4 linked regions of the Sus scrofa genome follow. The protein of the gene in region 2 binds, or shares a complex with, the protein of the main gene of each other region. Links are inferred from orthologs where the notes say so. Each region holds a gene or a part of one and is shown on either strand. Other genes may lie near its edges. The genes, in order: MBIP, SGF29, KAT14 and TADA2A.

What was found.
Region 1: SGF29 (region 2) and MBIP share a complex: the UniProt entries of both Homo sapiens proteins name them as parts of the ADA2A-containing complex. The link is inferred for Sus scrofa from reciprocal best matches to the Homo sapiens genes SGF29 and MBIP.
Region 3: SGF29 (region 2) and KAT14 share a complex: the UniProt entries of both Homo sapiens proteins name them as parts of the ADA2A-containing complex. The link is inferred for Sus scrofa from reciprocal best matches to the Homo sapiens genes SGF29 and KAT14.
Region 4: SGF29 (region 2) and TADA2A share a complex: the UniProt entries of both Homo sapiens proteins name them as parts of the ADA2A-containing complex. The link is inferred for Sus scrofa from reciprocal best matches to the Homo sapiens genes SGF29 and TADA2A.

The regions. Positions count from the first base shown.
Region 1 is NC_010449.5:63,657,742-63,662,041, reverse strand, and holds the start of MBIP (MAP3K12-binding inhibitory protein 1), read right to left. Parts: upstream 2,820-4,300; 5' UTR 2,735-2,819; coding exon 2,606-2,734; intron 1-2,605. UniProt on the Homo sapiens protein: Inhibits the MAP3K12 activity to induce the activation of the JNK/SAPK pathway. Component of the ATAC complex, a complex with histone acetyltransferase activity on histones H3 and H4.
Region 2 is NC_010445.4:18,354,236-18,356,931, forward strand, and holds the end of SGF29 (SAGA-associated factor 29), read right to left. Parts: intron 2,307-2,696; coding exon 2,177-2,306; intron 2,103-2,176; coding exon 1,956-2,102; intron 1,759-1,955; coding exon 1,723-1,758; intron 1,618-1,722; coding exon 1,455-1,617; intron 771-1,454; coding exon 654-770; 3' UTR 563-653; downstream 1-562. UniProt on the Homo sapiens protein: Chromatin reader component of some histone acetyltransferase (HAT) SAGA-type complexes like the TFTC-HAT, ATAC or STAGA complexes.
Region 3 is NC_010459.5:26,483,503-26,487,825, forward strand, and holds the start of KAT14 (cysteine-rich protein 2-binding protein), read left to right. Parts: upstream 1-1,483; 5' UTR 1,484-1,791; coding exon 1,792-2,050; intron 2,051-4,193; coding exon 4,194-4,312; intron 4,313-4,323. Other genes in the region: protein PET117 homolog, mitochondrial, read left to right, coding at 1,334-1,483. UniProt on the Homo sapiens protein: Component of the ATAC complex, a complex with histone acetyltransferase activity on histones H3 and H4. May function as a scaffold for the ATAC complex to promote ATAC complex stability. Has also weak histone acetyltransferase activity toward histone H4.
Region 4 is NC_010454.4:38,873,874-38,878,009, reverse strand, and holds the start of TADA2A (transcriptional adapter 2-alpha), read right to left. Parts: upstream 2,855-4,136; 5' UTR 2,755-2,854; intron 2,754-2,754; exon of another isoform or gene 2,614-2,753; intron 2,430-2,613; exon of another isoform or gene 2,230-2,429; intron 1-2,229. Other genes in the region: ACACA (acetyl-CoA carboxylase 1), read left to right, coding at 3,439-3,458. UniProt on the Homo sapiens protein: Component of the ATAC complex, a complex with histone acetyltransferase activity on histones H3 and H4. Required for the function of some acidic activation domains, which activate transcription from a distant site. Binds double-stranded DNA.

The sequences.
Region 1 (4,300 bases), on a different chromosome or scaffold from region 2:
TTAGTCATCTTTGCTAAAAATAAAGATATATTACTTTAGTTCAAATATAGATCTTATGAATTGTGATTACAATATAGCAAAAAGATGAATGAATCACTGTACAAAAAACTGAAAAGATATGAAGTTCCCACAAAGGCACTATATTGAATGCTATATGAAAGAAATTTCCACCCTTTGACCAGGAATATTTAAAGTCCATATCAGACAAGCATAAGGAACTAAGTTTTGTGTAGGCTGCACTAGCAGATGAGTTTATATTAATTTAACTAAAGTTTTACATTAAGATTGCTACATTAATCTTAATTAATTTAATGCCTATAAAGATTTTGTTAGACAACAACTTATGTATGAAAGTAAACTATACTTTCACAGTTCCAAAGAGATCTATAGTTGGTTATAACAAATTTATATATACATTTTGGGATAATGCAAATCCTCAACCAAGACAAAGCAACAAATTTACCAAATAGTAACTTATAGAAATTAATTTATGTTTGGATCATAGTCTCATTTCAATACAGCAGAATTATGTAAGCTTTCAAGTGAAATTCAAGATACTTGGTCTTTTAAGAAAACCATATAACAACATTAAAAATTAACTTTAAAACTATCCCAATACATTCAATTATTATTCAACAAATTCCCTATTAGTAATATGAATTCTATGCATTTTTAGGCTATAGAACTTGTAACTCTAAAACATTCACTCGAAAATGTATAAGTCAGCCATTAATATGGACCATTTAAAATATGCATTTCAGTAAAAACTTTATAAATATGAAAATCCAAGCTAATAATAAATAACTCTTCAGCTTGTAAAATGGACAATCCAGAGGCAAGTAATAAAGTTAAAATTAGTAAACTGGAAATCTAGGATAGAAAATACTGTTTAAACATTCAATTTTATGTTTCCTATTGAGGAGAGCTAATAATACAATGATACTATATAGAATGAACTAGGCATTTTACAACATACAGTTAAAGAAATTCCTTAAACCAGTTTCAAAAAAAAAATAATGATTCCCACTAGGGGCAATTTTATAAGTATAGTACTCTGGCTTTCATCCTTATCTTTATACATCTCAAAATATAGAGTATTATCAAAATGGCTAGCAGTTAATTGATGAGATGATTTTTTTTCCCCAACACTTGTATAAATGGTTCCTTCACTGTCAATAAAACTCACCAAATATTTAAACATTTTTGAGGTGACATAAATAATTTGTAATCATACTTTTCCTACAGAATAGTTGAATGTTTAAAATGTTAAAATAAGTTTTAAAAATTCAGTATGCCAACTGTTTCAAAAATGTTTAAATTATTTCTTAATGTTATTTAAAAAAATCTCATCAGTGGGGGGAAGTCTGTAAACTACAGGTGAGCATTAACCTTTCATCTTGACATTAGGATATAAAAAAAAAAAAACCTTAAAGTTCCAAAGTCACATCATAGAAAGTTCTCAAACTTTTAAACCATTTAGAGGTTTTAAGTCTTGACACTGAAATATTAATGTCCCTGTCTCAAAAAAATATTTAAGTCCTTGAAAAACAACTCTTTTAGCCGATTCTATTGATAATTATTCGCTTACACCAAATTGTGTATTTAATTTTGAGTAATACTCTTTTTAAGTCAGAATATATTAGAATTTTTAAAAATACTGAAATAACCTTTTAAAAAACTGATTATCCATCCACCGAAGGCTTTTAAAAGTAATTTTCACAAATCAAACGCTCTATTTTCATAAAGGATGTTACCATTATCTTCCACACAAATACCTAATCCTATCTAAGATTTAAAAAAAGATTTCCTTTTAAAAGCAGACAAACGGTATTTTCAAGTTCGCATTTTAAATTTCCTTTACATCTTACATCATGAAACGAAATAGTGACTTCACTGGAACAGAGTAAAGAGCACTTTTATTTGTTCGATTCTATAATGATATTTCTACAAAAGCTATTTATCAGCCAGTTAAGCTAGTTAATATTTAATAACTTGTCAACAGTTGTGATGCAAACAGTATAAACCAGGGATAACTTATCCAACTTAACACTAGAAGTGGTTGAATTAATTCCTTTTCTCTTCCTTCCCGTTTTGAAAGGGGAAGAGATGCAAGCAACAGCCAGAAAGAAAGAAGAAATAAACAAACCCAACTGACTCCTAACGGTAAATCACCCAAAAAAGGCGGAGAGGGAGCTTTTCCAGAAATCTCAGGCCGTAGACTAACCTATCAATTTCTATAATGAATGAATTGGAGGAAAAGGGATCCACAGCGCTAGGCGCCTCCCAAACCCTCACAGCTTTTCCGCACGCATTCTCTTCGAGCTTGTTTCTCTCCTAGCGGGGTTTCACTTACACTATCCTCATTCGCTCTTGGGGAGAAGAGTTGCAAAGAAATCTAGCCTGCAACCGGTCTTGAACTAACCCACGCGCGGCCAGCCTCACTTAGACCACAGGCGGCCGGGCCCGAGCTCCTCCCCCAGCCTCGGCTATTCTGGGCCGGGTCCCACACCCCGCAGGCCTCCGCCGCCCCCGCCTCCGCCGGAGAAAGGAGAGGGGGAGGGGCCGGACGGTTCCCAGATCCCTACTCCCAAAGCCCACCACTCACTTGTCCAGCAAGGGTATGCAAGGAGCGAAAGACTTCGCAGACCACCTCTTGGGAGAGGTTGGGGCTGCAGCTCCGCTCCATGCTCCTGTCACCGAGGGTCGCGCGACTAAGCTCAGCGGCGGCAGCCATGACACTTTCGTAGGCCACCCCCACCAGCACCAAGGTGTGCTCACAACACACCCCTCCCTCTCCTGCCTTCGTCGCTCCCCGATGATGTAAACACACTGCGTCTCATTTAGAGCGAGACTGTAAGACCCCACCTTCCCTACATGACTGACAAGCATGTGCACCAATAAGGTGCAACTACAGCATTCCTTCAAGGACCGTGAGCAAGAGATTGCCAACCTGGGCTTGGCTTGCTGCAATATTTGAGATGGTGATTTGGAGTCGTTATCTAATGAGAGTTAGCTTCTTGAAGCTTAGCTTGACGCTTAGATGTTGATTATGAGTGTTGCTAAGAGAAAACTTGTAGTTAAATGTTAGAGTTTTAGTACCAAATTAAAGTTGAGATTTTACCACGGCACTTTAGAAAGATCGCTGGTCAGGGACGCAGTGGATCCACACATATTTCTAAACACTGAAAACACACAGAATTGTCATAATTGGGTAGAACATTTTCGTCTATACACAATTTAACATCACTTTTTTTTCATGAGAGAAAGAGGAGGATATAACCACCTCCCCCCCAAAATACCCCTCTTTTATGCCTCATTTACTATCAAGGGAATACTACTTTAAATCTGCAAAATAATTCTGTCAAGTTTTAAAACTTGCATAGTTGCTGTTCTCTGAGTGATATGGTATACACACTCATCTAAAACTGTTTCAAAGAAAACAATGTCAACATGATTCCAACAGGAATTTAACCCAAATAAGTAATTGCGTGAACACCATCTTTGAAAATAAAGATAAATCCGAATTAAAATTCAACAAGTTATTATTTATCCAGATAACTGTATTAAAAGATATCTGAAGGGCTCTGTAGTATTCCGGGGTCAAGCATTGAAAATTTTGTTGTCCAATTGAAAAAAAAAAAAAAGTTTAGACGAATGCTTAATGTTAAACTCTATTCAAAACCACTTGAAAAATAAACATCATGTTTAGATATGAGGGATGAAAGATTTAAAATTCTTAATTCTAATTGTCTAATGCGTTTACAGTAGGAGAAGCAGAGTTGGAAACTTGCACAATGTGTATTCTTCAGTTTTAGAGTAGGCTGAATGAAAGGGGAGGAATAAACCATCAAGGAACTTGGATTAGGGGCAGTAGAGATAAAAGAATGCCTTTGACCTGTCCCTAGGGAGCCTCTTAATTAGGCTTTCATTTCCAAGGATCAGCAGGCTTGACAGGATCTTAAGTAATCTCGTCCGCTCCCTTGTTCACAGCAAGATATAGAGTTTATAATCCAGCCTATGCCTAGAGACATCCAGAAACAGATTTCACAATATCTAATCCCAAATTGAGCAACCTTCTTCCCATTCAAGCTACTCTTCCCCGTGTTAACCTAAATCCAAGAGTCTTTGCAATGTTAAGGTATTTTCCTGGCCTCTAGTTCTCTTGTTAGAGAATAATTCTAATGGGGTAACTGGAAGTTTTTGCTTTATAACATATTACCAGCCAGTTTCAGATAATTTGTTTTCTTCTAGGTATAAAGGGTTGGTTTGTTTGTTTTTCAGATATTCAGACCCTGGTATG
Region 2 (2,696 bases):
CGGCCTTCATGAGGAAAGGTGAGAGCCACGGGTCAAGGGCTGCAGCTGGAGCCGGACTTGGGGCCTCCTCTGTGGCCCAGACCCCGCTCCTACCCCCCACCCTTGCCCCCTCCCCAGGCATCACTGGAGATTGGAAAAGCACCTTCACAGTGGCCCAGAACGAGCGCTTTGAGGCCGACTATGCTGAGAAGATGGCAGGCTGTAACCTCCGCTTCCGCTCGGAGCTGTGAGTGGTGGCGTTCACGGAGGAGGGGTGTGAAGCAAGCCCGGCTGGAGCCTCAAGGATAAAATCTGGGAGTTTCCTGGCGGCTCAGCGGGGTAAAGATCATGTGTTGTCACTGCTGTGTGGCCTATAAACTTGTGCATGCTGTTGCTGTGGCCCAAAAAGGTGAATAAATCAAATCTGATGTGTGTTCAATAGAGAGCCTTCATTGGAAGCAAAGAGCAACCCTGAGCTAAAAGGGTAAATGCCTGCTGGGAGCAAATGAGGCCGACCCCCAAGAGGCCTGCAGCTCGCCCTGTATGGGGAGGGGAAGGGGGTCTGGAGAAGTAAACCCCGGGAGACACGAGGAAGAGTATTTATTTGGTCACAGAATCTTGTGTTGCATCCCCCGATTTAGGGTGTCAGGCGACTGAGAGTCTGACTGGCTGCTTCACTTTTTCTTGGGCTCCTTACAAGCCACCACGTACCGCTGGGCCACATTGAGCGGGGGGGAGTAACCATCTGCATAGGAGGTGTCTTCAAACAGGACTGAATAGTCATCCTGGGGCTGTGGGCGGGGACAGACATCGGACTCGTCAGAGACCTGCAGGCAAGGCTCCCCAAGCCTAGACCGATAGGAACCTTTGGTGTATGGGCCCCCAGCCTCTCCCATCCTTGTCACTGGAGAAGTCTGGATGCTTGAACCTGGTCCCTGCTACCACCGAGCTCTTTCCTCGCAACAAAGGGCCGCGGGCAGGGGACAAGGAGCAGGGAGAAGGGAGACTCTCGACCTAAACGGGTGAGGCCAGCTAGAGGGTCCGCTGTCTTGCGGGGAGCCTGTGTTAAAGGAACCAAGAACGATCTAGAGGAAAGCAGGCAGGGGTCCTGGAGGAAGAGGGGAGAACATCCTTTAAATTGCCATTGGGTGATGGGTGACCAGCGCGTCCCAACGTGGTCAAGAGCATTAGGGAGAGCAGGTCAGCCAAGGAAAGGGTCAAGGGTCCCAAGCCAGGCCCTGGGCCTTCCCATCTCAACACAAAAGCGAGCTTGGACCAGGAAGGGTCAGGTCCCGTTGGGGCTGCAAAGAGGAGGACTGGCTGGCGCTCCCCCCGGGAGTCCCAGGGCGGACCAAGCAGAAAAGAAAGGGCAGAGAGGCTGTGAGGGAGGATGAGGGGGAAGGCAGTGGGAAGATGACCCTGTGGCCGGTCAGGTCAGCCGGTCCCGGTTCCTGGACCCGGGGGAGACGCCTTACCCGCTGTGGGGGTGTGTGGATCAGGGCACGGTAGAAGCAGGTGGTCTGGGGATACAGGGCCAGCACCAGCTGCTCCTTCTGGAACAAGGCCTCGGGGTCCGTCTCCGGGTTGGCCTTCCACTGGGGCAGTGGGATGATCCGCCGGCGGCTCAGTGTGTGTCTCCTAGGGGACGAGGCCTTAGGTCAGCCCCCGGCCAGGTGGGGACCCCATCCCAGCAGCCTGGCTGCCCCCCAGGCTTCCAGGGCACCCCGCTGCCAGCACACTCACTCTTTGCCTTCCTCGTCAATGTCATCTACCTCATACCTGTGGGTGAACAAAAGGAAAGCAGGATGCAGGGAGCTGTGCAGCCGGGCAGGAAGCCGTCAGGAAGGGGAGGCGGCGGCTGGGAGGGGAAGGAGCCCGGGAGAAGCAGCTTTCCCCCACCCTGCAGACGGGTACCATTGGCAGCCCCGGCGGGTGTGGTGACAGGAGAGCAGCCCCAGGGCTGGGCATCCACTCACTTGTTGGTGGCATGGCTGTAACTGACCACTTCGGCCAGGATCCACTGCTCATCCCCGTCCACGGCCTTCACTCGGGCAGCCACCTTATCTCCAGGTTTGGCCACATAGTCCCCAGAAGCTGGAATGGCCCCACAGAGGGGTGGGGGCCTAAGGGTGCAATGAGATGTTAGTTCTGGCCGCTCGCCGGCCTGCCCTCCCACCCCGCCCCGTCCTGCCCTCACTTGTCACCAGGCTTCCCGATCCACAGGGGCAAGGTCATGGCTGACTGCTGCAGCAGGGTCATCAACACCCCCCGGCGCATGGTCTTCCGAGGGGGCTCCGAGTCATTGTACAGGCCGGCGATCTTGGCCGCTGTGGGGAGGAAGGGAGCCCTGAGCTGGCAGGGACAGGGGGCCGCCGGGGCCCACCCTCGCCTGCCTGCATGGGGCTGTCAGGGCTCAGCCTGAAGTCCCACCGCCCAAGTTCGCAGCAAGGGCCCAGGTGGCGCCCCGCCTCTTCCGCTAGATCCTGAGGGTGAGAGACCACCCAGCTCCAGGGCGGCCCTGGAAGGGGAAGGAACTAGAGAGGGCAAAAGCTGGGGTTCTGAGAAGCTGGTCATGTTCCAGTTCCTGCTCTGGGTGAGGGTCAGTTCAGTGAGTGAAAATGCAGTGAGCTCTCCGTTCATTGTGTTCTTTTCGATATGAACACAGAAGTGAAGTATGTTTTAATTCAACAACAAAGTTAAAAAAACTCTCCCGTGTG
Region 3 (4,323 bases), on a different chromosome or scaffold from region 2:
CCAGATGGCTCAGCAGGTTAAGGATCCGGTATTGTCACTGTACTAGCTCCGGTCTGATCCCTGGCCTGGGAATTTCCACATGCTGTTGGTATAGCCAAAAAAAAAGTTGAGTATTTTGTGACTTATAACCTATAAAATGTTAGTTATTAGTAACGACTGAATTGATGCTTTTGGACGTCTCATCTTAGATGCCAGGTCCATGTTCCGGAATATTCTTCTTGTCTTTTTAGTGCTTATCAAAGCCACAACCATTGATGGGCCGTTATTTTTGCCTCTGCTGGTAGTGTTCTTTTTTTTCCCCCTCTCTCTCCATTGTGTAATTGATAGTAATTCTGTATAATTTTTACTTTTTCTCTTAACCTAATAGAAGAAGCTGAGTTCTTTCTTGTATCTTTACAGTTGTTTAAATTTTAATAATTATTTTTTTCTGTGATATTTATTGCTTAGCTTGCCAATAGGAAGGTAGTTCATAGTCACTCAGGTAACTCTCATCAAGTTTTTAGAGCATCACATATCAACTAAACTTGTAAAATTCAGGTGGGGCAGTTTTTTTAAAAAAAATATTTCTTATTTGGAGTTCCCGTCGTGGCGCAGTGGTTAACGAATCCTACTAGGAACCATGAGGTTTCGGGTTTGATCCCGGACCTTGCCCAGTGGGTTAAGGATCCGGCATTGCTGTGGCTCTGGCGTAGGCCGGCAGCTACAGCTCTGATTAGACCCCTAGCCTGGGAACCTCCATATGCCATGGGAAGCGGCCCTAGAAAAGGCAAAAAAGACAAAAAAAAAAAAAAATTATTTCTCATTAAATTATATTTAATTTAGATTTTCATGCTAAACGGTGAGGAATTTCTTAAAACATGATAAGAAGTCTGTAATAATACCATAGCACTCTGCCAAATTAATTTGATGGTTTCTTTACTACATCATACTTACACAGAGGAGTTCCCGTTGTGGCTCACCAGAAACGAATCTGACTGGTATCCATGAGGACGCAGGTTTGATTGCTGGTGGGTTAAGGATCTGGTGTTGCAGTGAGCTGTGGTGTTGGTCGCAGATGCAGTGCAGATCTGGTATTGCTGTGGTTGTGGCTATAGTTCTGATTTGGCCCCTAGCCTGGGAACCTCCATATGCTGCAGGTGCAGCCCTAAAAAGCCAAAAAAAAAAAAAAAAAAAAGACACGTTACACTTATGCAGAAAATTAAAATAGTAATTGGGTACTTGGAATCTAAAAGTTTGAAGTGTATTTTGGTAACACTGTTTTTGGATTTGAATGGCACAGGGATGGGAACCACCTGTTCAGGGTTTTACTGAAATCTGTTTCTTACACTTTTAGAGGCTTCGTGACGGAGTGATCAGAGACATTGAGAGGCAAAGTCGGAAAAAAGAAAACATTCGTCTCCTGGGAGAACAGATTCTTCTGACTGAGCAACTTCAAGCAGAAAGAGAGAAGATGGTGTTGGCAAAAGGATCTCAAAACACATGACTTAAAATGCATGTGAAATATGGATGGAATAGACAGCATTAAGTGTGTGTGTGTGAATGATGGAGAACAGCTTATTGAAATCTTCAGCCTGTGTTTTTGGTCACTGTCCTTTTAAACTTGATTAGAAAATGGACAATGGATCATGTGTTCTAAGTAATTGCTTTAAGAGCCTTTTGTATCTGAGTAGAGGTGGGCAGATGATTTTCTGAGAGTTTCTGTTTGTATGGTCAGTGAGGAGCCCATTTAAGCTTGGTGTCCAGAGCTTAGGATTGTTCCTGGGAGCACTCTGAACCTTCAGGAAGAGGGGGATGGAGACTAACATCCACCTGGGCAGTTTGATCAGTCGGCATGATGATGAAGCCACAAGAACGTCCACATCAGAAGGGCTGGAGGAGGGGGAGGTGGAGGGGGAGACCCTCCTGATCGTGGAGTCGGAGGACCAGGCGTCTGTGGACTTGTCTCACGACCAGAGCGGGGATTCCCTCAACAGTGACGAAGGGGACATGTCGTGGATGGAGGAGCAGCTGTCCTACTTCTGCGACAAGTGCCAAAAGTGGATCCCAGCCAGTAAGGAGCCTCTCAATTCCTTTGCGTTATCAGTTCCTGTGGGAAGGTTTGCTTTTCTAACCTGGGAAAGCAGTGTGAATGTAACATAGACCTAAATAAAAAGCTAACAGTTGGGAGTTCCCATCATGGCGCAGCGGAAACGAATCTGGCTAGGAACCATGAGGTTTCGGGTTCGATCCCTGGCTTCCCTCAGTGGCTTGAGGATCCAGCTTTGCTGTGAGGTGTGGTGTAGGTCGCAGGTTCGGCTCGGATCCTGTGTTGCTGTGGCTGTGGTGTAGGCTGGCAGCTACAGTTCCAATTAGACCCCTCGTGTGGGAACCTCCATGTGCTGCGGGGGCAGCCCTGAAGAGACCAAAAAAAAAAAAAAAAAAAAAAAAGCTAACAGTTATATTTGTTATTAGTTTAGCTGATTACAAATTTATGTTAAATAGACACATTTGTCAGCCTCTGATCACGTTGTTAAGTTAATGTTCTTGATTGTAACCCAATAAAAATGAGAAAATGGGAAATCCTGTGTTAAATTCAGAGATAGCCACATTTTTCTATCAAGATCATGTAATTGTGGGGCCAAATTATAAGACCAGTGTAGAGCTGAAGTTCAGGCTCATAAAAATGACTCTGGTGATATTTAACTTACACGGCCAGTGACTTGCTATTGTATGCTGATGGAAGGTCGGAATTAGCAGATTGAGAGTCTTACGCCTTTTTCTAGGGTGGCTTTCTACTTGCTGGCCTTCTTGATCTGCTGACAGTAGATGCACACATGTGCTTTCCTAACAGCTCACTTTTTCAGCTGTGAGCTTCCAGCTCTCAAGGAGTGTGCTCTGCCGGGCATCAGAGCTCTTACCAAACAGGATTTTCCACTAGGCCGAGACTAGTAAAGACATATGTACTAGAGAAATACTTGTGCAATAGAATTTGTAACTAGGTCAGAGAAGTTTATGTATATGCATGTATGTCTGTATCATTGTGAAGCAGGCCATTTTCTGCTGTGTGGAAATGTTTTGGATTCAACTCTTCACATTCGTAATTACTGTTAATAAATTGATAGCATTTTCACCAAAAGCAAACCCAAAATTGACTACATTTTAGCTAGTTTCTGCTTTTGAGCTGTCTCTGCTTATAAATTCAGGGTTCTGCCTAAGAATGTTTCCCATTGTCTTTGCAGCATTTTCTGCCCTTCCTGATGAGGCCCCTGCTAACTTCTCCAGCCTCACTCTTTAGTGTCCACCTATCTGCACATGGAAACACAACTTTGCAGTTAGAGTGAGCCTTTAATTCCCCATGAGCAGTTGCAGTTCTTTCTTCCCCCCAGGACTTCGCACACACAAACGTCCTCTGTGGAATATGTCTCTACAGCTTATGTCCCCCCACCTTCCCCACCCCGGCCCAGTCTCACACACACAAGCATCTCTTTTCGCCTGCCAATTTTGGCCATCCTTCAGGTCCCTGTCGGCCCCACTTCTAGCTCTCCTGTCTTCCCGATGTAGGTGGGCACCTCTTATGTGTCCTCCTATTGCCTCCTGCATGCATCACAGCGACTGCGGGGGTTTCTGTTTCTTCTAGAGCACCGGATCACCTGGGGAACTTCAAAAACTGCACTGCTTCCAGGGCTTGATTTATTTTGTGTGCAGTAGGCCCTGGGCATATTTAAAACAAGACAACCCCCGGGTGGTTCTGATGTTCAGTGAGGGTGGAGCCCTGCTGAGCTGCTCTGATTCCCTGCTTGCTCCTTTGTAGCCCTCAGACTTTGTAAGCTCAGGATCTGGCATCATATCTGTGTTGTGTGTTATGTTACAGGCTCCCAGCCTAGACCCTGGCTCAGTGAGAGCTCAGATATTTTCTGGAAGAAAGTGTGAAGAGACCTATAGGAATCTGGAATGCTAACGGTTGGAATAGCCAGTGAGAACAATCTTACCTGCTTTTCCAGGCTCTTCTGAAAGTTGGGGAACCACAGAAATACCTGAGTGGACATGCACCTGCTGTTAGATGAATAAAAATCTCCCTTCCCGACCCTGACCCTGCAGAAAAGAAAGGGAAAAACACAGCCTGGAAACTTGAAAAATAGTTGATAAATTGATTCAAGCTTTGGGTTACTTCTGCTCTGGACAGACGTGTGATGTGCCTTTTGTTTTTCTCCTAGGTCAGCTGAGGGAACAGCTCAGTTACCTTAAGGGCGATAATTTTTTTAGGTTTACTTGTTCTGATTGCTCGGAAGATGGCAAGGAGCAGTATGAGAGGCTGAAGCTGACCTGGCAGCAAGTGAGTAAAAG
Region 4 (4,136 bases), on a different chromosome or scaffold from region 2:
AGAAGACAATATAACTTACTCAACTCTACCACATCCTAGCTTTGTATGCTAAGCAAATTATTTTATCTCTATAAGCTTGTTTCCTCCTCTGGAAATGAATATGATACAATCATATCTACTTCCTAGAGTTGTGAGGATTAAAATAATCAATATCCACATAAATAATATACCATGGCACCTGGCCCATGATAAGCCCTCTACAAAGGCTATATATTTCTAATAGGCAACAACTGGTTCTCTCTGTGCAGCATCACTTCTCTCCTCAGCCCTCCTTCCTTAGGGAAGGAAAGTGACTCTCCCACATTTCACACGGCTTTGGGGGAGTAGGTTGTTGCAAATCATAACACTCCGTCCCCCACCCCCATAGCAGCTAAAGCAACTAAAACTCTTCTTACAGAACCTGAATCTTGTAAGATATACAAGGACAGAGGGCAGTTAGAGCTCAGTCATTCACTAGCCAAAGAATCTGGTTCATGAGCTCTGGTTGTTGAGATACTCATTCCCAAAAATGGCACAAATTTTTTTTTTTTTCCATTTCTCTATCTTTTCAAAAATACTTTAATACGAATGAACTTTTATCACTAGAAAACTAAAAAACCATGGAGTTCCCGTCGTGGCGCAGTGGTTAACGAATCCGACTAGGAACCATGAGGCTGCGGGTTCGGTCCCTGCCCTTGCCCAGTGAGTTGTGGTGTAGGTTGCAGATGCGGCTCGGATCCTGAGTTGCTGTGGCTCTGGTGTAGGCCGGTGGCTACAGCTCCGATTCAACCCCTAGCCTGGGAACCTCCATATGCTTCGGGAGCGGCCCAAGAAATAGCAACAACAACAACAAACTAAAAAAACCCTATCTATTATGACAAATTTTGTTCACTAATTTATTCTTTGAACAAATATTTAACAGTTAAGTACCATGTACAAAGTATCTTTATTAAGACATAAATGAACTCATATTTCACACTAAGCCAATATCACCTTCTATACTCCCATAGCTTTTTTTTCCTTTTGCAGCCACACTCTCAGGATATGCAAGTTCCCAGGGCTAGGAATCAAACCCAAGCTGCATCTGAGACCTACGACTCAGCTTCGGAATGTCAGATCCTTAACCCATTGCACCACTGTGGGAACTCCTCCCATAGCTTTTTTTTTTTTTTTTTTTTTTTAATTTAGGGCTGCACCTGAAGCACATGGAGGGTCCCAGGCGAAGGACAGAATCAGAGCTGCAGCTGCCAGCCTATGCCACAGCAACGTGGGATTCCAGCCATGTCTGTGACCTACACCATTACTCAAGGGCAATGCCTAAACCCACTGAATGAGACCAGGGATTGAACCCACAACCTCATAGATACTAGTCGGGTTCTTTACCACTTAGCCCCGATGGGAACTCCTCCCCATAGCTTTTTATCTATCCCTTCTCCGGCATTTTTCACACTGCTCTGTGAAGATTACTTATGGATGCATATTTTTCCCATTTCTAGCCTAAATGAAAACAGGAACTACATCAAATACAAATTTGTATGTCTTAAAGTACCATACACAATGCCACACAGAAAGAACTCAATAAACAAAAATGTAATGGACAAATAAATGCTAATTCTACAAAAAAGTTAATTCATCCTTAGTTTTCCTGCAGTGACTTCTTTCACTGGATAGTTTTGGCTTGGAGAATAATTTATCATTAAGAATATACAACACTGTCAATGAACTTGTCTTTTTTAGGGTAGGTTGGGGTGGTTCTCCCTCTGGTCTAGCCCCAGGAAAATGAGTCTGAAGAAAAGTGAGTTTAGTAAGTGGTATCATGCACTTAATAATAAAATAATGGCCAAAACTTATTGAACTTTTCTCATATACCAGGTACTGTGGTACCACTGTATGTGGATCATCTCTGAATCCTTACAACCTTCAGAGACATGTTGCTTTTTCAAGGAGGGAAAGGAAATGCTAAAAGATTGTGTTACTGGCACAATGTCCTAGACGTAGTGAATAGCAATGTCACTTCAGAGGTCAACTAGAGATAGTCAAGTAAGGAACTTTATATAAAGTCTCGTGAACACTCCACGTTGTAAGTGCAATACTGCAATAAGCAGAATCTTTTTTTTCCCCGTCTTTTTTTCACACAGGAGACATTTCTGACGCTAATACCCACGAAAGGCTGGGTGCTAGCTCCAAATTAACATCTGCTTTGTTCAAAGAAATTACTGGGAGGAGGGAAGGGACGTGAAGATTACTCACTCACTGCAGTTCAGAGGACAGGGGCAGGCTTGGAGTTTTGCAAACAAGATTCGAAGCCTCATTTTGTTCCTTATTAACTGTGATCTTGGGCAAGTCATTTTACTGGAGGCTCAGACAAGCACAGCTCTAAAATGAACCTGAAATATCTATTTGGAAGGCCTACTTGAGAACAACAGGTAACATCAACCATACGCTGTCGTGAGCCGCATTACGCCCTCCAACGCAAAGTCAGGAAAGCGGAGGCCGGAACCCAGCAGGACCGCCCAGGGGGCGGGAGTCGCCAGGCTCGCGGCGGGGCGGGGCACCAGGGCTCGGGCCGGGCACGCGCCGCCCTCCCCCACCGCACGGCGTGGCCCCCGCCTCGCGCCAGTCGGGCCGACTCACCCTCTCGCCCCCGACGCCGCTGGGGTCCGCAGCCCTCCCCCACCCTCGGGGAACCTCGAGGACGCCTTCTCCCCCTCGTCCCGCGAGAGGGGTTCGCGCCGCACCACGCCACCACCCGTGCCGCAGCGCCTCGTGCCTCACCTCGCCGCGTCCCCCTCTTCCGCGCCGAGGAAACGCCAGCCGTGCGCGCGCCCGGGCTTTTGCGTGCTCGCTCCCGAGCGGCGCAGGCGCGAGCGGGCCGCGCGCTCGCCGCCTCCGCCCAGGCGCCGCCCCAGCCGTCGCGGCCCCGCCGCGTGGCGCGCGCTCGCCGCCTCCCCTCTCTCAGCTCCAGCCCCTGACCTCGCCGAGAGCTCGCCGCCCGCCTCCAGCAGAGGCCTGGGAGGATGGGGCTCTGAGCAGTTTGCCAGACTTTTGAGTCGGACCAGTAATCACTTTTCCCTCGGGGCGCGTTGCTCGTCGCCGCAGACTTGCGGATGCGTGCTGCCGTTTGACCCCTCCAGAGTGCGGTGAGCTGGAGCGGGCCGGTACAGCCCCGCTTTTGCGTTTTGTAACATTCCTGCCACCCCTGTTGCAGCCTCAAAGGAAATGGAGGCTGAGGGACTGGGCCCAAGGACGGCGAGTGGTGGTCCCCCCTCGAGGCCGGGTCTTGCAGTGCTACTCATGGATTAACCAGACTGCCTGAATGGTTCAAGGGTACATGGGGTACGTTTGATTCAGATGCTTCTGGAACGTCGAAATTATCTTCTTTGGAAAAACCATCCTCTCTTTGGGCTTTAGGTGCCCAAATTGAGGCGCGATGATGAGAGGATGTGGTGGTCCACTCTGATGTCAGTCTTGAGGGCTAGGTATGTCCCAACATCTCTTGTTACTACTGCTAATTATTATTATTATGATAGCTGCCATTTGTCGAGTATTTATTGCATGCCAGGCATTGTACAAAGGAGTTTACATACATGGTCTCATTTAATCTTCAAAAATAACCTTATGGAAAAGACACTTGTAATATTATCATCCCCATTTTCCAGGTGAAGACCTTTAGACTCTACCTTGTAAATAACTTGGGTTCACACAGCTAGATGGTGTTGGGGAAGGGCATTCAAACAGTGGTTTGTCTTAGCCATTATGCTCATGCATCTATTTAGAAGTCTTTCTTCCATCAATTTGCCCAACCTCTTAGAGAAATCATTTACACCTGCCTGTGTGGCCTTTTTATTCATTTCTTAGTCATACAAGTTCGTTCTAAAAAAAAAAGAATATTTGCATGAACAAAAAATGAAAACCAGCTCCTACCATGTTAAATGGTTACCATTTTGCCTTACATTCTTCTAGATATTTTTCTATACTTCATTCAAAAAATATAAAGTAGTTTTACATTTGATATACCCTGGAAATCTATTTTCATTTATCAAATTTTTAATGAGTAGATACCAGTTCTAGGTGCTGGGAATTCGGTGAACAAAACAAAGTTTCTGCCTCATCGTGGAGGAGGTAGACAATAAGCAATATTTAGACAATAAGCAATA